7 linked regions of the Nothobranchius furzeri genome follow. The protein of the gene in region 2 binds, or shares a complex with, the protein of the main gene of each other region. Links are inferred from orthologs where the notes say so. Each region holds a gene or a part of one and is shown on either strand. Other genes may lie near its edges. The genes, in order: taf7, taf6, tbp, taf13, taf11, taf8 and taf3.

Region 1 (3,500 bases), on a different chromosome or scaffold from region 2:
CGGCACATGCGCGCTTTGTTGTTTACGACCAAAACTTTCTTGAAGCCAAAGCTGAAATAATGGCAGGAGGAGACGGCAGCACTTGGGACATTTATTATCCCTCAAAGAAGACAAAGTGGGAAGTACGGGCATTTTTTGGATATTTGAAGAATGCCGAGGGACAGTTGATAGAAGACGGCTATCCTGTTTGCAGCACGTGCAGAAAAAAAGTGTCTGTGAAAGGCAGCAACGCTACGTGGCCATCATAATGTAGCCATTGTCTCACGACTCCGCCATCTCCAGTTCGCCACTTTTCACAAAATCTGGTTGCCACTGGTCCTGGTGGTTTTTCTTCCAGTTCGACGAGTTTTCTTTTGGAAGGCTGGCTGACTCCAGTTAAAAACCGCCACATTTCACCGCTAGTTTTAACACGAAGCTAACTGCTAACTTGATAAACTGATTGAATGGGATAGGTGGAAATGACATTGGATGCGGCGCTCACGTTTCGCGCACGTTTGTGTACGTTGCATGCAGGCGGGAGGAGTATCACAGAAATCCATGGAAGATGACTGATAAACATAACTAATTTGGTGCAAACATTTACTCGCCAGGTGGCAGATAGAGCTCAAAAATTTACTCGCCAAATGGAGCAATTTGCTCGCATTTGGCGAGTGGCGAGTGTTAATTTCGGACCCTGTGTGTGTGTTTTAGTGATTTCATGCAATTCAGGAGCAAAAAGAAAGCATTGGCCACTTACTTTCAGGGCCTGGTTTTCCACCTTCATGATGAGCTCTTCCTGTTGTTTCTTGCGGGCAAGAGTTTCCTGAAGCTTGGCCTTTATGTTGTTAATCTGCACCTGGTACTCCATAACTGCAGAAAACAGCAGGAGGCCAACGTGTTAAAAAAGGTCCTAAAACAACTCAGAAAAAAACAATGGTCTGGCATCGCTTGATGCAACTAAACAACTCTGGAGAACAATGCATGCATGACTGCAGATTAAGTAAATTAAACCTTCTAGGGAACGATTGGTCTGTTTAACGGATGATGCACCAGCAGCAGTGACGCATTATGAGACAATTAAATCAGTTTGCTGTAGGTTCAACAAAGAGAGTTACAATTAATTCAATTCAACTGATTCCCACTAACCTGTAGCTGCACTGGCTCCATATTTTTCTAACTAATTGCATCCATTCACTGCTTATTTCCACTGGTGCTCAATTTTCCAATGCAGTTGCTGTATTGTGCTAAATTAAGCAGCAAGGGGCCCTTGCTGCACCATTTATTACAAGCCTGCACAGCAGCTGGAATCATGGCAAACCATTCTGCAACATATTGGAAAACGCTCTGCCTGGATGCTGGTCTGCAGCTGACCAGTGGAGTTGCTGACTGACAGCTTCACGTATGCAGATAAGGAGGCCCGGCGCTGTCAGACCGGACAGCTGTCTGAGCTGCATGCCGCGCTGCAACACCTGTCAGCCTGGTTGGTTAAGGAGGAGAGCTGAGAGCTGTCAGTGTGTTCGTCTGCAGGGTGCAGCAGCATGCGCGTTTACGGGGAAGCCAGGCTATTTCTTTGACTGTGTGTGATGTCTGACCTAGAAAGCTCACTTCTTATTAAAAGTTCAAACACTTGGTTCCGTTTATTTTTTACATCTGCTTCGACAAGTACCTAGGGGTGATCTGATTTAATTTAATGTCTGACTTTCTTCCAAAGTCCAACCTTGTTGCTGTGACCACTCTGACAAAAAAATTAACAACCAAGTTGGCTAAGAGATTGAACATTTACCCTGAGGTGTGAGTTGCAAGCACAGCATGAAAGATTGCATAATCCAACACAGCACTTGCTTCATTCAGCTAGGTATGTAGGTTATTTGGAAGTAAAGAGATTCAAATTTGAGTCTGCACTTTACGTGCAGACGTTTCCTGGAACCTGCAACCTGAAAATGTTTAAACAGGTAAATGAAAATGATAATTTACAGACCAGGGGCCTCATTTATAAAGCTTGCTTGCACAGAAAACAAGGTTTGAAAACTGCATAAGTGACTTTCCATGCAAACGTGACTTATTCAGAAAAACTTGACAGAATAATTGTGCGCAAATTCAAGCAAACACTGGACCTGGCGTGAGTACGCTTTGGACACAGGAAACCTGGCCATGATACAGAAAGCAGAAACTGCGTGCAGCTGTGAGTGAGCAGAGTATTATAGGTCGTAGTAAACTAGTTTGCGTGAGTAATTTATTCTTTACTGAGCTTAAGTAGGGTTTTGGTAAGGATTCTATGCAAAGTTTTATAAACGAGGCCCACATTGCATTTTAGAAAAAGGTTAAACAGCTTTAAAGTGTGAGATTATTCTCCCCCACACTGCTGACCTTGTGATGAACAACGACCAAACTTCTAATTCTCACCTATCTGGTTGTTTCTGTCGCTTTCATGCTGAGCAGAATCCGACTCGTTGAGCTTTTCCTGGAGCTGTCGCACTAGATCATCCTCTGTGTCCATGATATTCAGGTCCTCGTCTTCATGCCGGTCCCCTTCGTCCTCCTCTTCCTCACTTGAGCTGCTGATGTCGTTGAAGATCTCCCTCAGCTCGTCGCGCGGGACTGGCCGTGCAGAGCACAACGGTGTTATTAACAACAACACACAGACAAGACACGCTGAAACTCTGAAAACTAAGATGGCTTTGAATTCCCTTGGAGACACCAAAGTTTATAAAAAGATAACATTTTTGGTCTGTTGGTCATTGACGGAAAACATCCTGGAGTCCAAACATCCAGAATAATCTTCTCTGATCTCTAAACCCAAACCTTGACTGTTTGGGCGTTTTGTAAAAACTGACATGAAGATCATCATGTTTTATTAATTTCCTTTTTAATAAAAAAAAATATCTCAGCACAAATAAAATCACAAAATAAGGTGTTTTTCATTTTAAAGGCCATTAAAAAAAACTTGTAACATTTAAAATTTGTCAAAAGTTTCTTAAGTGGACAGTCTAAATTGAAAAGGCTACAAACTGTAAGCAGCACTGGTAAAGTATATGGAAGCAACTAAGGAAGTGTATTGGTGAAATGATGGTGATACGATAAGAATCACGATACGGGGAGGCGATACGATATATCCCGATATATTGCGATACATTCAGTCAGACGATATCAGCGATTTTTTTAGGCTGAATTTATTGTAGGAAAATTCAATAAACAGTCAAAACTGATACTTATCATGTTTAACATGAGGTATCTGACCCATGATAGAGGGATTTACAATTCAATGGTGGAAACAGAACCCATTGTACACTGCTGCCAACTAGTGGTCGGCATTTGATTTGCACCAAAAGAAAAGTTAATACACACGTTTGCATGTAAATTCTTCCAAAAATTAGATACACAGCTTTTGAATATCGATATATCGCAGGAAAAAAGATCACGATATATTGCTATATCAATATTTTCTTACATCCCTAGAAGCAACATATGACTGAATGCGTCTATAAGCAAACAATACATGCATACGAATGTATAAAGATCTG
Region 2 (2,886 bases):
TTGAGGAGAACTTCAAAGTACTCTGCTTACCGATCCACAACGTCCTGAGTCGAAGTCAGCAGCACACTGACCCCACTATAAACAGAGTTGGTAGGGCACTGCTTTCTTTTTGGAAGTTAGAAACTTCTGACAGGAGACTGCCATACATTCCCAGCAGACCCTCACAATACGTTTGGGTCTGCCAGGTCTGACCGGCATCCTCCCCCACCATCGAAGCCACCTCGTCACCAGGTAGTGGTCAGCTGACAGCTACGCCTCTCTCTTCACCCGAGTGTCGAAGACACGCCGCAGATCAGATGAGATGACAACAAAGTCAATCATGGAGCTGTGGCCTAAGGTATCCTGGTGCCAAGAGCCCATATGGACCTTTATGTCTGAACACGGTGTTCATTATGGACAATCCATGACGAGCACAGAACTCTAATAACAAAACACAGCTCGACTCAGATCAGCGGCAGACTAGAACACTTAAGTAACTCTGCAGCTTACCTGTGTGATTGTTAACGTGGTCCTGTTGACCTGCTGGGCTTGCAGTGTTGCTTGAGTTCTGGCCTTTACTACATGAGAGCACAACATGGGCCCAAGGTAGCCATATTCTGCCCGATACTGCTCCACGTTGTCCGGCTGAGGTCGTATCTTGGCAATAACACTCGCACAGTGTTTCTTTAAAAAGAGAATAAACAGCTTATTGCAACCTTTAAAGCACTAGTTGTTAGTCTCTCAGTGTTTTAGTTTACAAACGAGTCTTATTCACATCTAACGACATTTATTACCAGTAAGAGGGTTTGAACATGTTCAGCTCCTATCTTGTCAATGTTGGAGACCACAGGTCCCTCCATCACTGCTTTGATGCGAGCTCCCTCTACGGTGAGTCGAGGAAGGATCAGCGTCTTTATCACCTGAAAAGGTCAAAAACAGGAAACGATGATGTAACAATTCTGAGACACAGAAGTCGTAAATTAGATGTTTTTTCTCTTGTAACAAACTCTACCACCTTCATTTCAGACGATGGCACTTTTCCATTACCTCACTGTGAAAACTTATAATTCTTCCAAATAGAGGCGACCAATATTGGTTTTTCTATTGCCGACAGGTAAAGGTGATGGCCGATTAGTGCTGCCGGTATTCTGGGCTGTTTTTCGTGGTCGATATTTAAACGTTTTCTACCTCATGTTCATGCTAAAATGCCACCAATAACATCAGTTGATTTACAAAACGTTTGAAACCGAATCAGTTTTTGAACACCGAGTTTAACCAACTGTTAAATCTTAATTTTATGCACGGCTCAGTGTTGGAATCAGACATTTAACTAAAGTTACTCAAACAAATTAGTAAACTGGCAAAACTGGTCAAATTTAAGACATTTTAGTTGAAAATAGTTTTTTGAGCATTTATTAAGCAGATGTTATTCAGGAATGTAAATATCCACAAATTTAATTCTGCAGCAGCACCAGGCTGCCCGAGGACATGCCCGACTTTTAATTGGCTTTACTAAGGAGTCGCATCGGCCGATGCTGATATCTAAAAAGTGGTAAATATCAGCCGAGATATCCGTCCACCCCTACTGTCAAAAGGAAAACAACTCAAATGGGAGCACCCCACCACAGAGTTTTTTTTTTTAGAATTGTTTCTATTCACATATTCTAAATACAGTTAAAATAATAGAAACCTGTTCATTGATTAGCAAAAAATTAAGTTAAAATCTAAAAAAAAAAAAAAAAAAAAAAACTTACATCAGCTCCGAGTTCAGCAAGTCCAGCAATGCAGCCGTATCGTGTCGTCCACTGGGTCTTATCATCGAACAAACTCTGAAAATGTCCCCCCCCAAAAAAACACTGATTTAAAATGAGTTTGTGTCACTAGAGCTAGTATTAAGAGTTGTTAAATAATAGGTCATTTGGGTCATCACTGCAGATGTGCTGCAGAACGTTCTACACATTAGTGTTATGATCATCATGGTAAACGTTTGCCTTTAGGGTAGACCTGTTTATTTACATGGGTTTGGTTTACTGGCTCGATTGGTGAAGAACAAACACTTTATTAATGAAATATTAATTACAGGTAAGTTATAAGTGGAACTTTGATTAGATTTTTTGTTGTTCAAACATTTTCTAGTCAAAAACATAAATTCTAGCCACAGAACTTTTCTCTCTTATCTCTTTTCACTTCAAAAATGTCTTACGACCACTTTCCTACCAAACACCTACCTTGGTCAGAGTCTTGGTAACACGTGACTGGATGTTGTTGGTTGTGGTGCTGAAGGTTTTACAGCTCTGAGCCATCAGGCGAGCAGCAAAGTCCCGTAAAGCCCAGTGGTTATCAACATCTGGTCGTAAACACAGCTGTTTACTCACAATACAGGTGACCACAGCTGGGATCAGCTCATGCAGCTACAAAGAAAAACAGCTTTGTTAAAATAATCTTTAGTTTAAAAATGGCGTGGACTTCTGGTTTTTCATTTACTCACATATTTTTCCAAATACAGGGTGGGATTGTCCATCAGAGCTTTGACCATCCGCATGAGATAAATCAGCAGGGCCAAGTTGTTCTGCACCACGTTTACACGGACCTTCGAGGAGAGCGTAAAATCAGCTGACTTATGTTTGATGTGACATCAACAATGTTTACGTTAGGTTAGAAAGATTCTTACTCCTTCAGAAATAAATGTGCTGAATCTTGGAAGCATCTGATACAGACCAGGGTCCGTTGCAATACTCTGTAGAGCTTCCTGTATGAATCAAATAGAAAAACCAGATCAGCAAGCTCACACACATTTTCTAAAATGATGATTCTGCTCTCCGACTTTCCACTTTAAATGGACACTAGGCAGTTTTGGCTAGCACCACCTTGTGTCCGTTTAGTAGAACCAAAAGCAAATCTTATCTC
Region 3 (3,360 bases), on a different chromosome or scaffold from region 2:
AACGTGTCCTGGGTCGACCCGGGGGCCTCCTGCCGGCAGGACATGCCGAAGCACCTCCCCAAGGAGGCGTCCAGGAAGCATCCTGACCAGAAGCCCATACCACCCTTGTTCTTAAAATTTAATGATTTTGACATGTCAGTTCCAACATAATCACCTACAAATGATTCTCTTTTGACTGATGTTACATGGGAGACAATCCTGACTTGTCTTTTTTATGATGGGTATCAAATAAGCCACAATTCCTTTTGTAAGAATGATTGTATTGTTTAATACACAAATTACTTTATTTCAGATATTCAGAGAAATTATGTATTTTCTGCAGCTCTAACATCCAACTACAACATGTTTTAACTCTTACCCAGAGGTTTTCCCTAAACTATTTCTATACAGGGATTCAGTATTTTAGTCTTCACAGTTTATTTCTTCATGGTGACTTTTGGTTTTACGCAAGAGACTTCAGCTGTAAAATGTTGCTGCAAAGAAAACCAAGTAGACTTGAGTCATATGTACACTTTTATTGGGTGGAAAAGAAAACAATGGACCAAACTTCTTCGAGTCTGCTGGGAGGACAGAAATCAGACAGAAGAGACAAAGATGGAGACTGAACATGTCACTAAATAAACCAGACTTTTAACTAGTTGCCATAAACGTCACTAGCTGACCGTATAACACATAAGACCACCAGCAATGACTTCAATGTGATCCTACTTGAGTTTTAATTTTAGACAAAGGCCAAACAGCCAAAATTCTGCTGATTTGAAACAACCAAAAACATTTTTAAAACTATACTGCATGGGTTTGAAATTAATATTAATCATAAGAGCTTTTTTTCCCTTATATCAATATTGAGCCTACTGAAATCCCGCTGAAGAGCTGCATCGACTTTAAGATTGGCATCACTTCTCATTCTAATTACAGAAGAACATATACACACATTCAAGTTTAACCATTAAACACTTTCTTCCTGTAACCACAACAAACCAGTTCTCTCTTTCAACAGAAAGATTGTTTCACGACTTCAACCAGACAAAGTCGAAAGTTATCAAACGCCTCTAAACAACTTAACTGTTTAGCAGCAGCAAACATTCATGGACAACTTGGCCAGTCAAATAAAGATTAGCTCAGCTTGAGTTAATGGGCGTCTACTCCCAATGAGTGTAAAAAAAAAGTCATTAATCAGGATTATTTTCTACCTTAAGGGAGTAAGCATAGGATTTAAAATCCCAAGTATCATGTACAGCAGGGGATTTAAAGAGAGGTCAACAAATGCTAACAGCTGAGAGTATAAAAGTATTTAAAACAGCTTCACATAAAACCAGCAGTCCTAGTCGTCGAACTGCTTTTCTGCTCAACAACACTTTACATTTTTTACAGTCATATGTACAGTTGGGGATGAGATGGGACAACAAAAACCTGCAACCACAGGACACAATAAACATGGTCAGAGTGAAAGAACAACCTTTAAAATGATGATTAAAAAAATTGAAGACAGAAAGATGGATGAAAAAACTCCCAACACCTGCATCAGTCTACCTTCTCATTAAAAATGTGACATTAAATAATGAATGAAATAAGAGGATCAGGTTTCAGGAGGTGGAAAAGAAACCCCAGGTCCTACGTCGTTTTGCGGAAACCTTTCAGAATGGGGTAAATGTTTTCAAATGCTTCGTAAATCTCTGATCTCACTTTGGCCCCTTCAGGAAAAACAAAAAAGATTGAAACATGGATCAGTATCAAGATGAATCTAGAAAACTTACAGAATCTCTTGTTCTATTTTAAATAAAAAAATTACAATCCTTTCAAAATAAAAGGAGATCCAAAACAATGTGCCAAATTATTAGGTGATACTTTAACTAGAATCTAAAAATACACCCGTCTGAGAGCTCGGGCCTTACCTGTGAGCACTACTTTCCCAGAAACAAAGATGAGCAAGACGATTCTGGGTTTGATCATTCTGTAAATCAGTCCTGGAAACAGCTCCGGTTCATAGCTACAAAACACAAGTTAGACTTTCACAATTATATGAATTTTAAATTAAAAAAATGTACCATTTTTAATTAAATCTTTGCAAACATTAGCGATGCTCAGATCAGGTTTTTTGCTGCTTATGGATTGGCCATAAATGTATCAATGCTGTTATTATACTTGCTACATGATCTGGAATAAAGGAGCAATAATATTGCCCAATTTTGACAAAATCATTTTACAAAATACAAGACTTGTCAGTGTGTTTCTGACCAGAACTTATAAGCCTTCTACTATTTTCAGTTCAACTCAAGATGATCATGTCCAGGATGACAGAGAAGCTTCCCCTTGTGCTTAGGGCTGTAGCGAAGCCTCGACTACGTCGACGGCTCGATTCTAAAAATTTGTCGACGTCAGATCCGGAAGTCGACGCACCGCGCCCACTTGTTGCATCCCCAGGAGTTTGTAAATAGAGGAGGAATCTGCCTGTTTTTCCTCTAGTTCGCCCTCTTCTCCGCCTTCACTAACATCTCCGCCAAATACCGAAGACCCGGAACAATGTCCGTCCACTACTAGATTATTTTCCTGTTTTGCCCGCCTTCGTCTCCCGGCAACGGACAACAACTTCCGGGGTCAGATGCGCTGCTCCGTCTCTATCGCAGATGTAGAAAATCACCGGGAGCGTTTCTCCCTTCATAAAGGAGCTTCTTTCAGACATTAGGAGAGCTGTTTTGGTGGTAGCAGTCTCTCCTCCGTGCTGGTCTGTTTGCTGCTGGGTGTTTTGGTTTATTTAAACTTGGTAACTTGAACTTAACGTTGGTAAAGCTACTGTTAGCATCTTCGCTAACAGCTTCTTGCGTTGGGATAAGCTGTTACGTTTTGGTTTAGAGTTAATCTTTTTTGTGGTGTAGATCTCCCTTTTATTACATTTAGAGTGTTGTGGGTTTTCGGTTTAGTGTAAAATATCACCTTGAGTTTGGTTTAACCCGTAAGACCACTCGCCTCACGCACATAAGTGACCAAAACAAAGCAGCGTGGAGACACTCCATCTTCTACCACCTCTCAGGCAGCAGCCTGCACTCCCAAGTTCTACACGTCACCAGAACATAACCAACCGCAACACAATAAAAGCAGTGTTATACAAAATGGAAGGCCTGTAGTGTTTATTCTCTTACAGTAACAATTTATCAATTTTTTTGAGGAATTTATTTGAGATTTTCTGGTTTTTGTTAATTGTGCAATAGAAAAATAATCATTAGATTAATTTTCTAAATAGTCATTAGAATAGTCGACTATTCGATAAAATAATCGTCAGAATAATCGTTTTAAAAATAATCGTTTACCCCCAGCCCTACTTGTGCTGTATTTTTGTTACAGGATGCAAAGTTTAGATCA
Region 4 (2,708 bases), on a different chromosome or scaffold from region 2:
TTATTACAAAATGCTTTAACCCTTTGATGCATGAATTATGAAATCTTCAACCATGATTTTTTTCATTCGTCTTTAGGTGTGAATGAAACAAATTTCAACAAATATATATTTTTTTTATAATTTACAAATAATTTATTACATGTCCACCTCAGTGGGCAGCGTGCATTCTGAGCATGAAACATGTTGGCTTGACTTACTGAAGTCCAAATGGAGGGGCTCAAATGCCATCAAGTCTTCAACAGCTGTGCTTTGTGCAAAAACAAATAAATAACAATTTTGAGTACCTGTCCACTGTAGTGACCATTATGCATCAAAGGGTTAACACTCACAATTATGAAATCCCAGCCAGATGTGCCACAGCAGGTCATCTCTTCTGCAGACAGCAACAAAGTTAGGAAACTAACGACATACGGGTACATTTAAGGTGTAAAAACTCTAATTTTAAACTGCAGAAACACCTGATATACCACAAAAGTCTCTCCAATCCAAACAGCAGGAAAGATAATGAAATGTTAATTTATTCACGCAGTTTCCATGGAAACACTTAAAAAAACCTTAACAATCCTTTCCAACACGTTGGCAGAAAGTTTCATTCTTCAATGTAAATAACAGATGTTGGTTTTCCTGTTGGTGTTGGGACTTATTTGAAACAAACTAACTTTATTTGAGAGTTTCCGATGACTTGACAGTGTAAACATGTCATTAAAACAGTCAGTTCTGTTATTCAAGTGAGAACCACTAAAAAATACACAAACCAGTTAGCAGGAAGCGACAAACAAACGCGAGTTCATTAGGAGCCGTAATTGGCTTCATCAAAAGCTTTCCGGGCTCTCTTCAGCTCCTCGTTCATGGTCAGGAGGTCTTTGACTCTGGCGAACTTTCTGGGATCCTTGCGAATTAGAAAAACGATGTCCTCCACCTGGACGCGGCCCTGGCGCCCGATAGACATGGCTTTGTGGGTCATTTCCGTGATGAACTCGATCACCAGATCCTCCAGAATATCCACAGACTCCGTGTACGGGTTCTGGTCGTCTCCAAACCCGTACATCATGCACCGGAGCTCCTTAGAGAAGAGTCTCTTTCTCCTGCCGTGGCCGACATCCACTCCGCTGGACCCGTCCTCCAACTCCTCCTCGAAGCCAGCCTCGTCCTCCTCGTCCGCCATTAATTCTGGAGGAAAACGCCGATAAAACGAGCCTTAACGACGCTTTACTGTAAGATAAACCTCACACTTACAACATGCAAACATCAAAATGCGTTTTAGAGAACAAAAATTACATTTTACTTTGAAAACTGGATCACAACAATCCCCAGACTCTTCTACGTTCGTTGTTGTTCTTCTTCTTTGGTATTTTTGGGCTTCAGCGTTTGACACGCCAACTTCAAATTGCATGACCGCCACCTACTGGACTGAGTTTGAAACGTCAGCGCAGATCTAATCTTTTGAATAAATTCTTGTTTAAAATCGAGATTGAAACGAGTCACAAATAAATAAATAAATAAACAAAATAAATTAATAAATATTAGAGCCATGAGAGTCACACTGACAGGCTGAATTCAACAAACGGAAAAAATAACGACTTCATATGTATATTAGGTTTATTTCAGATCTGCATCTATTCCAATTGTTTTCTTGAGTGTTTTTGTTTCTACTTAGCCAAACTATATCATGAATGATAATGAAGTTGAAGCTTTTTGGCGGTTTTTGTTTTCTGCTTCTCTAACCCAGCATGCATTTGTGAATAATGTGTCAACCTCCGTTGAAGGCGTAGAAGAAGAAACATAGCGGAAAGAAACACTAGCTCAAATATCTAGTGCCTTATTTTCTTTCTTTCTGTGCTCAGACGTGTACACAAGATCAGAACCGGTAAGAACTACACTAGAGTCGCTGGTTAGCTACTAAATGTTTCTATGTTAATGTTGTTAAAACGTTTAGAGATCCGAAAGTTGCGTTAGCTTAGCTGTCAGCTAACGGCTAAAGATAGCAACTGCTTGGTTGTGATGATTCTTCACAAGCCATCTGGTAAACCGGACACACTTTATATTATATCTAGATGTAAAGTAGGATGTGTGTGCTACGCCGTTCATCTCCACATGTCTCGTTAGCTGTTAGCTGTGTAGGCTAACGCTGTGGCTGTGGTAACACAGTCTTAATGACTTTTTGGTTTAATTTTATAGCATCTTCCAAATCCAAATCGCATGGTTCTTGGTCAGAATTATAATAAAGGTAAATAAAATACAATTTAACGCTCCTAGAAGTGAAGGGTTTTATTTACAACTCTCCTTAGTTGAGAACTTTATTTTAAAAAATAGTTTATTTTTAAGTTACATTAACAAGTCATGGCTGTCTGCTAGAGCTTGTTAAAGCTAGACCGGATGTGTCTTTCAGGTGTATAGGGTGAGGTCCCCCAGTCATTTCAGATAATCTAAGTTGAATTATATCTCACATATTTACATTATCTGTTGTAGATAAGGATGTTCTGTTGAATCCGAATAACATATCTCATATGTTTGTTGTTTTTCCCCTTAGGTCCTTATTCTAGTGAACCATTATGGGTGGTGTGGTGGGGTGCAGAGGTATTTTGGAGATGCTCCCTCTGCATTAACAGTCCATTCTGGACAGCTGGTCCTGGAAGTCCCGGATGGCGTGCCCAGTTCAGTTCCTCTTCAGAGGTCTTTGCACTATTGGACTGGTCCTCCTCTACTAT
Region 5 (4,083 bases), on a different chromosome or scaffold from region 2:
CTGTAGCAGAACCGGTTAGATCCTGACATGGTGAACTCTTCTCCATCCTGCAGATCAATTATTTGGGCTGCTTTCCCTGGATTTCACAAGCAGACATGTCTCTGGACTGGATAATCCTGTGAGATTATCATCTACTGCTAATTGTTAGAATGATTTATCTTTTGGATAAACCCAACTAATAGCTTATCCATGTGAAATGTAAAGGAATTGTACGAAAAGGGAATTGGGGTGATGTTAACTACTACATGTATAACCAACAGAATTAAAGAGGAACGTATGAAGCACCACTAAACTCACACAAGCAGTTTCACTTTGTGAAAGAAACAAGCTAACACTAATTAGCTGGATTAGCCTGAGTTAAAACACAATAAAGTAAGTGACTGTGTATTTTCCCACTTTGTAACACAGCTTCTTACCAGTACTCTGGAGTGAAGACTGGGGTAAACAGATAAAGAGTACAACGAAGACTAAAACTTTGGTTATTGCTGACTTGTAACAACAGTGTGTCGTTTTCACGCATCCCGCCATGGCCGTTCTACCTTAAGCTCCTCCCCTAACATCTACCACTTCCTTTTCCGTTTCTCGCGGCTCATTCCAGCCAATCACAGCGCTGGGTCGTCGTTGTTGTTGCACGTTAGCTTACGTTTGTTAAAGAGATAGTACGTTTTGTAAAAAAGAAGTATTATCTTACCTAAAGATAATTACTTCAAACTCCAGTTTCTAGCCTCATTGATATAAGGACGCTAACATGTTTTCTACTGATGTTTTACCCAATGACTAAAAATGACCAGAACCAACGTGTAGTTTCGGCTTTTCGCCACTAGAGGAAAGCAATTTACCTCTTCGTTCACAAAAAGCCAATGAAAAACTGAGTTTGAAGCAAGCTCCACACAGGCATCTTATCCAGGTAGATCCTTTTATAACAATTAAAGCCATTTTAAACCCGCTGTCGCATTTCTTATGTTACCCCTCCTTCACATTTTAACATCTCCTGTCGGGGACATAACAAAAGAGAAGGAGGAGGAGGATTTGAAGGAAATAAATCTGGATTAATACATGTAAAAGACTTCCTGAGTAGAAAGACTATCTAATTTCTTCCAAAGTCTGTTTTTTCCTTAAATGAAAAATATGAGCTCTATGCTGGTGGCAATAAACAGAACAGCACTATTTTACGTTCAAGATTCCCTAGAGTTTATGAATTCGCCTCATCAGCTACCCTCCAGTGCGGTAAGGGGCGACAACATTTTTTTTTTCCAAACGCCATTAACCCACGAAGAAGAAAAGGAAGAAGAAGAAGAAGAAGAAGAAGAAGAAAGAAGCGCTAGCTTAGCTTTTCACGTTTGTTGTGTGCTTTAACATATTATACAAATGTATCATGTTTAATCCACTTTCTGTTCACGGCTACCTAAAATACGTTTAAATTAGTTTTGTTGCTGCTTCCTGTGGTGTCGTTGAGCTCGTTCTGGCTTGAAGGTATGTATATGCTGTTATTTCTGTCGTGAAAATCCACCTTAACGGTAAATTTCATTTCTTTCTTTATTTAATAGGGACAGTGCATATTAATGAACTTCAACAATAAATTGCATCGGTAAATATGCCAGATTGTAGCACCAGTGCTAATTTACATCTGCAGTCCCTAGGCGGGTAATAAAAGCAATAAAAGAAAGTAAAGTATTGTATTTAAAACTAGGAAAAACAGAAAGAAAACACACAAAACACCACGGTGAGGACAAATTACTGATGGATACGGGTTTGGGTTTCCTGCAGCCATTGTTTGAATTTGAAGGAACTGCATGACTGTGAGTCACCTATGCTGAGTGGTAGACTATTCCAATATTTAGTCCAATATTTAGTTAGGATAGTGTGGTCGGGCCAAAAGCAGTGCGTCTGTAAGGCACCTCACAGTCTCCTCTATCTGTAGCCCTGGTCGACGTTCCACTGATAGACCGCGATTTATTACAATCTGTCAGTGGGAAAGGGGCTAGTCCATGTAAAACCTTAAAAAACAGGCAAGCATTCTTGAAGGTAACAAAGTTACTAAGATTAAGAAGTCTATATTTATCTAAAACAAAGCAGTGGTGGAAACTAAATGATTTCTTATCAAGGATTTTTATGGCTTTTAAAAAAAGGGATTCTATGGGTTTGAGTGTTGCACCAGCAGCAAGTGACCAGGAGGTTATACACTATTCCATGTGAGACAAAATCATAGAATGTAAAAATAACTTTGCAGCATGGAGTGAAAAAAGGTCTAACTTGTTAAAAAAATGACATTATAATTGACAGTTTTTTTTTAAAAGTTGTTTAATGTGATTCTTAAAAGTTAAGGTTGGGTCCAAAGTTAACCCAAGATATTTGAATTCTTTGACAATATCAAGTTCTACCCCTTCAAGAAAGATGTTTGATTTTTTTTAGTTCAATTGTTTGTTTTTTTTGGTGAAAAACATGCAAACAGTTTTTTTTTATGTTCAGCTTTAAGTGGGAACTCTTGACCCATTTTTGTACATGGGCCATGGTTGCAGTCAACAATTGGGAGGCTTCCTGAGGACGTTTAGTATCAGTAAAAATAACAGCATCATCTGCATACATTTGTATGTTTACTTTTGAACATACTTCGAGAAGATCATAAATATAAATGATAAACAAAATCGGCCCCAGAATACTGCCTTGGGGAACTCCAACTGGACAACTAATGTAGGAGGATTTATTGCCAAACAAGGACACATATTGTTTTCTGTCACACAGATAAGACTGAAACCAGAGCAGCGCCTCTGGTGAGAAATTAAAATGACTCAATTTGTTTAGAAGAATTTGATGATCGACGTGTCGAAAGCCTACTTGAGGTCTATGAACACAGCTCCTACACATGCATGCCTGTCAAGGAGACTTTTGACTTTTTCCACAAAGACACAATTTGCAGTCTCTGTGGAGTGGCAGTTACGAAATCCGAATTGCATTGGATGTAGGGATGTGTGTCCAAAATTTAAATATGCATTCAGTTGCTTTGCCACCCACTTTTCTGCAACCTTGGAGATAGTGGGGAGAATACTGATGGGCCGATAATTGGCCATTTCAGTTTCGTCAATTGGCGTGACTGCAGCTAGCTTCCATGCTAAAGGCACAACATTTTGTTTAAACGATAGAATAATTAAATGAGTTACCGGCTGAATTAGTGCATCTTTGTGCAGTTTTAAAAAATGGGTGTCGAGAGACCATATACATCCTTTGCCTTTGATTGGTTGCTGTCCACTTCTGTTATTTCTTCTATCCTGAAAACAGCATGACAAGGATTTACAGGATCAAAAACACCGTTAGACGGTGTGAATTGTTGAGTTATATCTCGAACTGTGTCAACAAAGTATTTATTCATTTCAGTAGCTATGATAAGAGGATCTTTCACCAGAGTATCATTTATTTTGATTTCAAGTTTATTAATAGCATATTTGGATTGTTTACCAGTTAATTGGTCTATATTTATCCAGATAAATTTATGTTGAGAACATTTTATGTTTGCAGAGGCTGAATCGTAGAGAGACGTCGAGAAACGATGGCAGATCCTGCTCGGATCAAAACAGAAGATTCTCTTCCGAAGACGGCAGCTTCTGCTATCGATGAAGAAGTAGTTAGGAAGGATCAACCTGAAAATGAACTCGTCTCAGAAAAACCTACAGAAGAAAATAAAGAACCGAGCGTGCAGGATCAGCCCACACCTCTGGTTAAAGCTGTGAGTGAAGCTAACCATAATGGTGCGCGGAAACATTGACAGGAGTTGATAGCTCTAAATAGTAAAACATGAATCTATAGAGAAGAGCCATAATTGAAGTTTCCTTACATTAAAACCTGTTTTAATTAAGATCAGCTTTATTTTAGCTGTGTTCTCAGGTGTGTAAATGTTTATGCTTGCATGAACAAAGTAGGTATCTTGTTACATCAAAGTGAAGATTTGTGGTGGTGGTGTGATGGTTTGGGCCTGATCCCCTGCATCTAATCCTGGACACATTATTACTAATAATAGGACAACTGGATATTTTATGTGTTTATATTTACAGCAGATAGAAACTTGTAGTTTGCTTAGACTCTTACGGG
Region 6 (4,185 bases), on a different chromosome or scaffold from region 2:
TATGCATGGTCTCTCCTCTGTTGTGGGAGGAAACGCGGCTTCGGCTGTATTTAAATGGGAAGTCTGCTCCAGCCTCTCCACCTGCGAATGCCTGATCGTGCCAAACACTTGGGAGAAATTCACATTTTTGACGTCTGCCTTAGAGTGAGTATCATTCATTAGCCAAATGTCTTTGTGATAATTGTTTTTTCCACAAAAGAACACTACATTAAACTATTATTTTTCTTCCAGCAGAATCATTGCATATCAGAAAATGGACAGCACCAACGAAATCATCCTTTTTGCCAAGGAAATGCTGAGACAGAAGCCCAGCTGGAGCATGCTTAAGATCTACATGCTCGGCTCGACTCTGGCGATGATCGGGATGGTCGGTGGTGTGGTGGAGATGATTCTCCAGCCCTTTTTAGACAATCACAGCCCAGGGGAAGAACAAGCAAAGTTCTACATCGAGATGAATAAGGAAAACAGTACGAGCAAATCAGACTCTGCCACAGTTCATGCCGAAGTTGAGGACATGATGGGAGCAGTATCGTTTGGAGCCAAGACTAAATATCTGGGGACATCTATCCAGAGAAGCTCAGCCAACCGCTTACATGCTTCTTAAAGAAACACTCCACACCACTTAAAAGGACAAAGATATACCAGTATTGTTGGTGGTGGTGGTGGTGGTAGCCTGCATTACCAAATCAAGCAGCTCATTTTTTATTCTTTAATTTATTTCAGATATGGTTAAATGTGTAGTTTTTCTTAGCTGGTGGCTAAAACTTAGCTGAAATGTTACAATAAAAACTGCAGGATACAGTTTAGTAATGCTGCTGGGCAGCAGGTTCCAATGGCTGACATGCACTGGGTGTCTATGGAGCTCATGAAATGCCATTCGTGTCATTCATTTTGTACTTAAATAAACATTTTTTCTGCTCGCAGAATTTTGGCCCTAATTTAAAGCGCCCACAGATTCAGATTTATTCGACTTTAACGGTAGAGGTTTAAGCTTTATGCATGAGGAGAATTTTATTGAGTAAAACAAAAAGTAATGTGTATTTAGCACTGTTCGCAGAAAAAATATCACCAAGGGCTTCACAAATAAAAACTGTAAACACCGCATACAACCTGTGTAAAAATGTGCTCGTAAAAACAAAAGAACATAAAATAAGGTATAAAAAAATTCTAACGTAATGTGTTTTCAGCTGTTTCTCAACACAATCTTTTCAATAAGAGCACAAGGACAGAGCTAAAGTGTGGGAGCCACTGCTCGAAAGGCCCGACCACCTCTGGTAACCAGTAAGCAGTAAAACTGGGGAGATGTGCGCCCTTACTGGTACGTTATGTCAGCAAATAGCCACTAGATGGCAGAGTGAAAGACTCTAATACTCAATTTCACTTCCGCAACAAAAGCGGAAATTACGTCATAGTATGAGCTGTGTTTACAATCGACGGTGAAGCGGTTTCTGGATAAGTAGAAATAGAAGAAGAATTGCATTTGTTAGAGAAGGAAACCTGGAGCTAACCTCTTATGGCGGATCCAGCGGTAGTATCGGGAGGGTCGCTGCCCTCCTGCGGGGTAAGAGATGCTTTTTAGGGCATTAGAACGCGCCAGCTAGCTTACAAGCGCCTCTCATCGCCACAGTTATTACTACTGTAAATAAACATGTTGGTCCTTGGCACGAGCAGTAGTATTTCGATAGATATTTACATTAAGCTAGCACCTTACAACGCCAGGGTTTGTGTGTGTGCTCTTTCAGCGTGGCGCTAAAGCGGCTTCCAGCGCCGCGGAGAACTACCAGCTGGCCCGCCGTCGCACCCTGCAGGTTGTTGTCAGCGCCCTGCTGACCGAGAGCGGCTTTGAGAGCGCAGAGAAGGCCGCGGTGGAGACGCTCACGGAGATGATGCAGAGCTGTAAGTGTTTACAAACAGTAGCTTCTGTCCGCTGAGCACGAGCTTCCAACACCAGGTTAAGGCTATTCAGATGAATGCATGTTTACGTCTAAACTTCACTTGATCTAATCAGTCTAGGTTAGTTTAAAGAGCAAGTCACCCCCAAATCAACTATTTTTTCTGATAAACTATATAAATGCGTGTCTAATCGTGCTGCAGACACGTGTGGTCAATAGTTTTGCACTTTAGTGCATTTTAGTTAAAATTTAAATTTTCTGCCTTAAACTGTCAGTGTTGTGCCGTTGTCAGGTAAAAACTCTTCACTGCATTTGAATTTAAATCTGCCACCGCTATTGGCTAAGAGGTATGCTATGATGTAAACTGGTACATTATGATGTCACAATGTCGTGCGTGTGTGTATTTGTTAGTGGCTCCACCCTCTCGGTCTGCTAGGCAACAGCATTTGTTGCATTTTTCAAACATGAAGTGGGAGTGGAGTACGCTTCTTGTAGGGGGTGACTTGCTCTTTAAAGAGCCTCCGTCCTCTATGTTTCAGCTGTTTCTGCTCCATCTGGGGCCCCATTTATAAACAAAACCGGGTCTGAAAACCGCGTGTGTCACTTTCCACGCACATTTATAAAGAAAACCTGACAGGAAAATGCGCACAACTTTAGGCAAACCCCTGTGGAGTCAGGGAAACTAGCAGCACAGCAGGTGAGATGACAAATGGTGAATTCAAGCCGCATTTGGACCCTCGTGTCTGCGCACGCACACACACAAACACACACAACCACAGTCAGCTCCCTCACCCGTCTCTGAATAAATAAAATGAGAACTTAATAAAAAATATGTCGCTGTTAAGAGATCACAATGTGTTCAAATGAACGTCTTCAACCGGAGTCACGTCCAGCGTTTAAAGAAGTTAAATAAGAACTAGTGACTGCAGGTTATGACTCTGAGAGCTTCTATCCACTACTGTGTTGTACGATTGGTGCTGGCCTTTGATGAGGTATTTGTTTGGTTGTTTAAAAGCGTGCCTGTAGAGTTTTTGAAATACTAATGGTATCATTTTCCTGTAAAGATATAAGTGAAATAGGTCGTTGTGCCAAAGCATACTGTGAACACACGGCCAGGAGCGTCCCAACCCTCTCTGACACGGTGGTCACACTCATTGAAATGGGTAAGACTGAAGGTGCATCAGCATGGTGACATGTTTTTTTTTTACTGTGAACACACTCCTAATCGGTGATTGTTTGTCCTTGGAAAGGTTTTAATGTCGACACTCTCCCCGTGTACGCCAAGCGGTCACAGAGGATGGTCATTACAGCTCGTAAGAAACAAAACCTGACATTTCTGCTGTTAGAGCTGTGATGATACCCTAGGATATCAAGTAACGAGTCACGGTTGTAGGCTAGTTTTAAGTTCTACATGTTTGTATTTCCTGATTTTTAGCTCCAGTCACGAACACACCAACAACACCTAAATCCCTGTCAGCTGGGCACAAGCGCACTCACCCACCTCATATTCCTAGCCACTTCCCAGAGTTTCCGGACCCTCATACCTACATCAAAACACCTGTAAGTTCATCAACATAATCTCCATAATAGCCCTATAAAACCACGTTCACCCCCATAGTGGGTGATGTTGCATAAACAGGTGTTTTGCGAGGCTCTCCTTCCTTCCCTCAGACATTCAGAGAGCCTGTGTCCGAGTACCAAGTGGTGAGAGAAAAGGCAGCGAACCAGAGGAGAGACGTAGAACGGGCCCTCACACGCTTCATGGCCAAAACTGGAGAAACTCAAAGCCTCTTCAAAGACGACGTCACGGCCTTCCCATGTGAGGGATCCCGACTGTACATTACCCGTCAGATTGTGTGTAACCCTGTGCATTAATACAGAATAACACATTGCTGTTGTTAGTGATCGCAGCTCGGCCAAGCACCATCCCATATCTGAGCGCCCTCCTGCCCTCGGAGCTGGAACTGCAGTCGCTGGAGGAGACGGACTCCTCTGAGCAGGACGACCAGACCGACAGCGAGAACACAGCTGGAAATATGGTGACAGTAAGTCTTCACAGCTGGGAATTGGTGCCAGGCGCAGTAGAGTAGTAGTAAAAATAACTTTTTGAAGGTGCCATTCTGAAGGTCTAAACTAAGAGGAACAGGGCAATAAAAAGCAGCACTTAGGATTGAAACAGAGAGAGTCGCAGCTACACTGCGGAGTGTGTTAGAACGGTTAGGAGTAATAGGAAGGATAAGGCGCTATCCAAAATAACACAAGAGCTCTTTATTGGTACTAGTGTGGTGTTAGT
Region 7 (4,011 bases), on a different chromosome or scaffold from region 2:
AAGTGGAAGGGCTGAAAAGAGGAGCGACGTCACCCAGAGAAAAGGGCGGGATGACAGGCTGTTTCTGCTTGTCCTCTTTGCTCCTGTCTTTACCCTTGTCCTTCTTCTCTTTGTCCTTTTTACTCTTATCCTTCTTCTTGTCCTTGTGCTTGTCCTTCTCCTTCTTAGGGCCATCTCCATCTCTAGATTTAATTTTGATGGAGCCCTCGGGTAGAGAAAAGTCTCGATGAACAAAGTGATCCTCGTCTTTCACTCCAAAATCCTTCCAAGGCATTTTGACATCCTTGGAAGACTCCTTGTTTTTGTCCCTGTTCTTCTCCTTGTTCTTCTCCTTGAGTTTGCTCTTATCCTTTTCCCGATCTTTGTCCTTTTGTTTATCTTTGTCCTTCTTCTTCATCTTGGTCCTCAGCTCCTTCTTCAGCTTCTTCTTCACGTCTAACGGAGACACCATCTTGCTTTTCTCCTCGAACACTTTGAGCAGAGGCTCCGGGGTCGGAGGTGAGGCCGACCGTGACGACATGTACGGAGGCTGATTCTGAGGCGGGGCAGCTGGACCCCCGTGATTGGCCTTCCGGATCACCTCGTTGATGGAGTCATCCATAGTCCAGCTGTCCAGGCCCATCCGCGGCTGTAGGTGAAGAAGCGTGGACGTGTCTTTTAGCAACATTCCAGTCCCTAAGTGGAATTTCGGCGTAGACGGCTCCATGATGGTCAACCTCCTGGGGCTGGAGAACCCATTGCTTTCTGAATCAGAGCCAGAGGAGAAAGCAAAAGGATCGGGTTCCCGCTCAGCACACGCTCTGGCTATCACAGCATCGATAGAATCGTTGATGGCTGTGTTATCAGGTTCTAGTTTGATAAAAGGCCCTTCGGCTAAGTCCTGGTCCTCCATGCTCGGAGGAAGGTGAATGTTCTCTTTGCCCATCCTCTCACTCAGCGCAGACAGAGGAAACTTTTGCAGGACGTCTGCTTTGCTCTGAGGCATGGGAACTTTAGAGGAACCCATCTTTGGACTCTTGGGGCTTTTAGGACTCTTCGATCTGCCGGGAGACTTTTTCTTTTCTTTAGACGGTTTTGGAGAATGGATGGGACTGCCAACCACTGGAGCAGGAATTACCCTTTTGGGGGACTTAGTCCGTTGTCTGCCAGGAGATGAGACTTTGGGCTTTCTCACTGGAGTGGTGAAGCCCTTGGGGTCTGACAGTTTTGGTATTATCGGCTGAGGCCTGAAAGAAGGTAGAACTCCAGACGGCATTTCAGGTGACAGCGGGTCCAGGCTGTCATGAGAGGGAAGGATGCCAGGAGGAACGCGCTGTGAGTTGATGGAGGTAAGAGGCTCCCTAGGTTCCACTCCCCACTCGGGGCTGAGGCCAGGGTACATGCGTGGTCTCTTGGAGGTGGGCATCATGCCCAAAGCAGCATCGGGACTGTCCAGGTGCCTCTTTAGCGGATGGTTTTCATCATTTACGGTCTCGTCCTCATCCACCTCCTCCTCGTCCTGCTCATCCATTGCCACCTGCATAGCCTCGGCTGAGGTGCCCATGTCTGCAGGAACCTCCTCCTCTTCCTCTTCTACCAGGCAGAGACAACAATGACAACATGTAATTCAACAAAGTGGCAAAAGTTAAAGGAATGTTACTAATATATGAATGTAAAATATTAGACTGTGCTGCAAAGTTTCAATGGTTTATAATCACAGAATGTTAAAAGCTGCAGTGAAACGACAGAAAACAACAGGTGTCTGTAATAAGTGTTTTATAAACTAAAACCTTGAAGAAAAAAGTCAACGCAGTTCGGACTTTATGTCGCGCATGTGATCAACGATGGCACGAACCTTCCTGTAGGGACACCAGAGGTGGCATGTAATCTGGAATGTAATCCTTTCTCTCCTCTGCGTCTCTGACTCCAGGCTGAGGGAACTGCAGGACATTGTTTTTGCTCATGGGAAAGAGTGGTGTCTGATGGGCGAAGGACACGGGCTCCAGATTGTGGACGTAGTCCTCCAGCTCGCTCAGATTGACCCCCATCAACCTGAAGGCTTGGCTGACATCATCCAGCACTGGATCTGTTCTTCCATCTATAAGATAAAGAACAGAAGATTTAAGCCTGAGCAGACACTTTAATTATTCTGTCCCAATCGATCATTTTAGGGCTGGTAAAGACATGTGACTCATGTTTGACAGCACATAAAGAAACTAACTTCAGATCAACAGGATTAAAACTGACTTAACCAACTAATTAAGGTGAAAATAATGCATCTATGTAATGGTAAAATAACCGGAAAGTAGAGTATTTTCACACAAAAATGAGGAAGCAGCAGTTGTAATGGTACTGCACTTTTTGACACATGGACACGAGGGGGCGCCAGCTGCAAAACAAATCAACAACGTGATCGACAACTTCAGGTTTATTGGTTCGGAAAAGTGATCGGAGTATGAAACAGAGCACTTACACAGCTCAGAGTACCGGTGGCAAACCCTCGCCAGCTGCTGGATGTACCTATGCAGCACATCGGACAGCAGATCGCTTGCAGTGAGCTGAACCGCATCCCAGCCCAGAGCCTGGCAGATCTGCGCCACCGAAACACGCAGCAGCGAGCGGGCATAGCTCTCGCACATCTCTCTGGGTTCGCTACAGTAAATATTCCGGTCAAATCCTCATTAGAGACATGCTCCTGGTCTTCATGTTTGGCGGAAACCCCAATAGGCTTGGGAAAACCCACTATCCCACTTAATTTTTGACATTTACTTCAGTAAATATATTGGCGCTTTTGCCAGAGTCGCCATCTTGAGTTAATCGCTTAACCCAACCCCGATTTCTAATCTACGCATGCGTACAAATGCAGTACAGCGCTGTCATACGAAACAAGGAAAATTATGGCGAGCCGACTTGTCATAAAGTATTGCTACGCTGAGCACACTTGCAAAATTCATTTTTTTCAATCGCCTCTCATCAAAATGATTTTATTTAGTACAAAACTCCCAAATAGCAGTAACATAAATATTAATATTTGCTGCAAAAAGATAACACGATTATGGATAATACAACACAACATTGTTACGAATTTCAATCTTAATTTTATACCTTCTTAATAATGAAGATCTTAAAATATACTAACCCGGAACGCTTTTGTTTCAACTGATCGTGAAGAGTGAATTGTGTAAATATATGTTACAGCGGCATGCCAAATAGTAATGACATGTAGCTTAGCAGGCTGTTAGCTCAGTCTGTCAGAGGAGAACAAGACTGAAATGTAAGCGATTATCGCCAAATGTTGAGATAAACACTTTTAAAGTGCTACAAAAACCTAACATGCAGGAGATGAATTAGCAACCACTGTTGGTTTTCTTCCTTTACCACCAAGCCACATCTGCGTCGGCATGTTAGCTAGCTGGCTAATGAAAACGAACAGGGAAATTTATAGTTTTTAAATGTACTGTATCAGATATCAAGCTGGAAATCTGTAAACACGAAATTAATGTTATTGTTTCAACGCCAAGGTACATTTACAGTGCAGTGGCTGTTCGGTTTGCATGCTATTATAAGATTTTGCACACGGCGGTGCTGGTTTACCAATAATCAGAGTAAATTATTTATTTAAGCCTTAAAATTTGATTAACACCTAAAACGTGGCAAAATACTCTTCATTGTTTGTATCGTCTTTTAAAGACTCGAAAACTACGTTTCCTTTGTCAAATAAGGTTTTACGCATTTAAAATTTTGCATATACATAAAATCTTTTAAATGTATTTGAAAATAAATGATTAATTTTCTTTTGTGTTAGCCTTTACATTTTTTTCTGGTAGTACTCATTCCAAAATAGCATTATTTAAAGCACTCCATTTCCAGTGTGAACACTACCAGTTCTCCCATCTACTCATCCTCACCCTGTAGCAATAAGACTTACCCACAAGATGATGCTGACATCTCCATATCTGCCATCATGCTGGTCAACTGGTCAATTAATGATGAAATGCTGTAGCCCTTCTATTTTGTTTAAATTTGTGCGAC

What was found.
Region 1: taf6 (region 2) and taf7 share a complex: the UniProt entries of both Homo sapiens proteins name them as parts of the TFIID basal transcription factor complex. The link is inferred for Nothobranchius furzeri from reciprocal best matches to the Homo sapiens genes TAF6 and TAF7.
Region 3: taf6 (region 2) and tbp share a complex: the UniProt entries of both Homo sapiens proteins name them as parts of the TFIID basal transcription factor complex. The link is inferred for Nothobranchius furzeri from reciprocal best matches to the Homo sapiens genes TAF6 and TBP.
Region 4: taf6 (region 2) and taf13 share a complex: the UniProt entries of both Homo sapiens proteins name them as parts of the TFIID basal transcription factor complex. The link is inferred for Nothobranchius furzeri from reciprocal best matches to the Homo sapiens genes TAF6 and TAF13.
Region 5: taf6 (region 2) and taf11 share a complex: the UniProt entries of both Homo sapiens proteins name them as parts of the TFIID basal transcription factor complex. The link is inferred for Nothobranchius furzeri from reciprocal best matches to the Homo sapiens genes TAF6 and TAF11.
Region 6: taf6 (region 2) and taf8 share a complex: the UniProt entries of both Homo sapiens proteins name them as parts of the TFIID basal transcription factor complex. The link is inferred for Nothobranchius furzeri from reciprocal best matches to the Homo sapiens genes TAF6 and TAF8.
Region 7: taf6 (region 2) and taf3 share a complex: the UniProt entries of both Homo sapiens proteins name them as parts of the TFIID basal transcription factor complex. The link is inferred for Nothobranchius furzeri from reciprocal best matches to the Homo sapiens genes TAF6 and TAF3.

What each region holds. Positions count from the first base shown.
Region 1 is NC_091741.1:82,927,740-82,931,239, forward strand, and holds part of taf7 (transcription initiation factor TFIID subunit 7), read right to left. Parts: intron 2,578-3,500; coding exon 2,383-2,577; intron 850-2,382; coding exon 737-849; intron 1-736. UniProt on the Homo sapiens protein: The TFIID basal transcription factor complex plays a major role in the initiation of RNA polymerase II (Pol II)-dependent transcription.
Region 2 is NC_091750.1:47,777,018-47,779,903, reverse strand, and holds part of taf6 (transcription initiation factor TFIID subunit 6), read right to left. Parts: intron 2,729-2,886; coding exon 2,651-2,728; intron 2,570-2,650; coding exon 2,468-2,569; intron 2,391-2,467; coding exon 2,208-2,390; intron 1,809-2,207; coding exon 1,734-1,808; intron 900-1,733; coding exon 774-899; intron 664-773; coding exon 490-663; intron 1-489. UniProt on the Homo sapiens protein: The TFIID basal transcription factor complex plays a major role in the initiation of RNA polymerase II (Pol II)-dependent transcription.
Region 3 is NC_091749.1:35,004,844-35,008,203, reverse strand, and holds the end of tbp (TATA-box-binding protein), read right to left. Parts: intron 1,991-3,360; coding exon 1,896-1,990; intron 1,695-1,895; coding exon 1,615-1,694; 3' UTR 501-1,614; downstream 1-500. UniProt on the Homo sapiens protein: The TFIID basal transcription factor complex plays a major role in the initiation of RNA polymerase II (Pol II)-dependent transcription.
Region 4 is NC_091755.1:48,193,984-48,196,691, reverse strand, and holds taf13 (transcription initiation factor TFIID subunit 13), read right to left. Parts: upstream 1,401-2,708; 5' UTR 1,286-1,400; exon of another isoform or gene 1,279-1,285; intron 1,213-1,278; 5' UTR 1,166-1,212; coding exon 791-1,165; 3' UTR 501-790; downstream 1-500. Other genes in the region: slc35c2 (solute carrier family 35 member C2), read left to right, coding at 2,643-2,708. UniProt on the Homo sapiens protein: The TFIID basal transcription factor complex plays a major role in the initiation of RNA polymerase II (Pol II)-dependent transcription.
Region 5 is NC_091755.1:54,208,846-54,212,928, reverse strand, and holds the start of taf11 (transcription initiation factor TFIID subunit 11), read left to right. Parts: upstream 1-1,283; 5' UTR 1,284-1,473; intron 1,474-3,513; 5' UTR 3,514-3,544; coding exon 3,545-3,721; intron 3,722-4,083. Other genes in the region: nemp1 (nuclear envelope integral membrane protein 1), read right to left, coding at 1-76, 417-528. UniProt on the Homo sapiens protein: The TFIID basal transcription factor complex plays a major role in the initiation of RNA polymerase II (Pol II)-dependent transcription.
Region 6 is NC_091755.1:40,695,089-40,699,273, forward strand, and holds the start of taf8 (transcription initiation factor TFIID subunit 8), read left to right. Parts: upstream 1-1,385; 5' UTR 1,386-1,513; coding exon 1,514-1,561; intron 1,562-1,742; coding exon 1,743-1,896; intron 1,897-2,956; coding exon 2,957-3,055; intron 3,056-3,142; coding exon 3,143-3,205; intron 3,206-3,327; coding exon 3,328-3,452; intron 3,453-3,563; coding exon 3,564-3,711; intron 3,712-3,794; coding exon 3,795-3,937; intron 3,938-4,185. Other genes in the region: g0s2 (G0/G1 switch protein 2), read left to right, coding at 2-144, 232-604. UniProt on the Homo sapiens protein: The TFIID basal transcription factor complex plays a major role in the initiation of RNA polymerase II (Pol II)-dependent transcription.
Region 7 is NC_091744.1:59,253,509-59,257,519, forward strand, and holds the start of taf3 (transcription initiation factor TFIID subunit 3), read right to left. Parts: upstream 2,801-4,011; 5' UTR 2,619-2,800; coding exon 2,453-2,618; intron 2,078-2,452; coding exon 1,835-2,077; intron 1,573-1,834; coding exon 1-1,572. UniProt on the Homo sapiens protein: The TFIID basal transcription factor complex plays a major role in the initiation of RNA polymerase II (Pol II)-dependent transcription.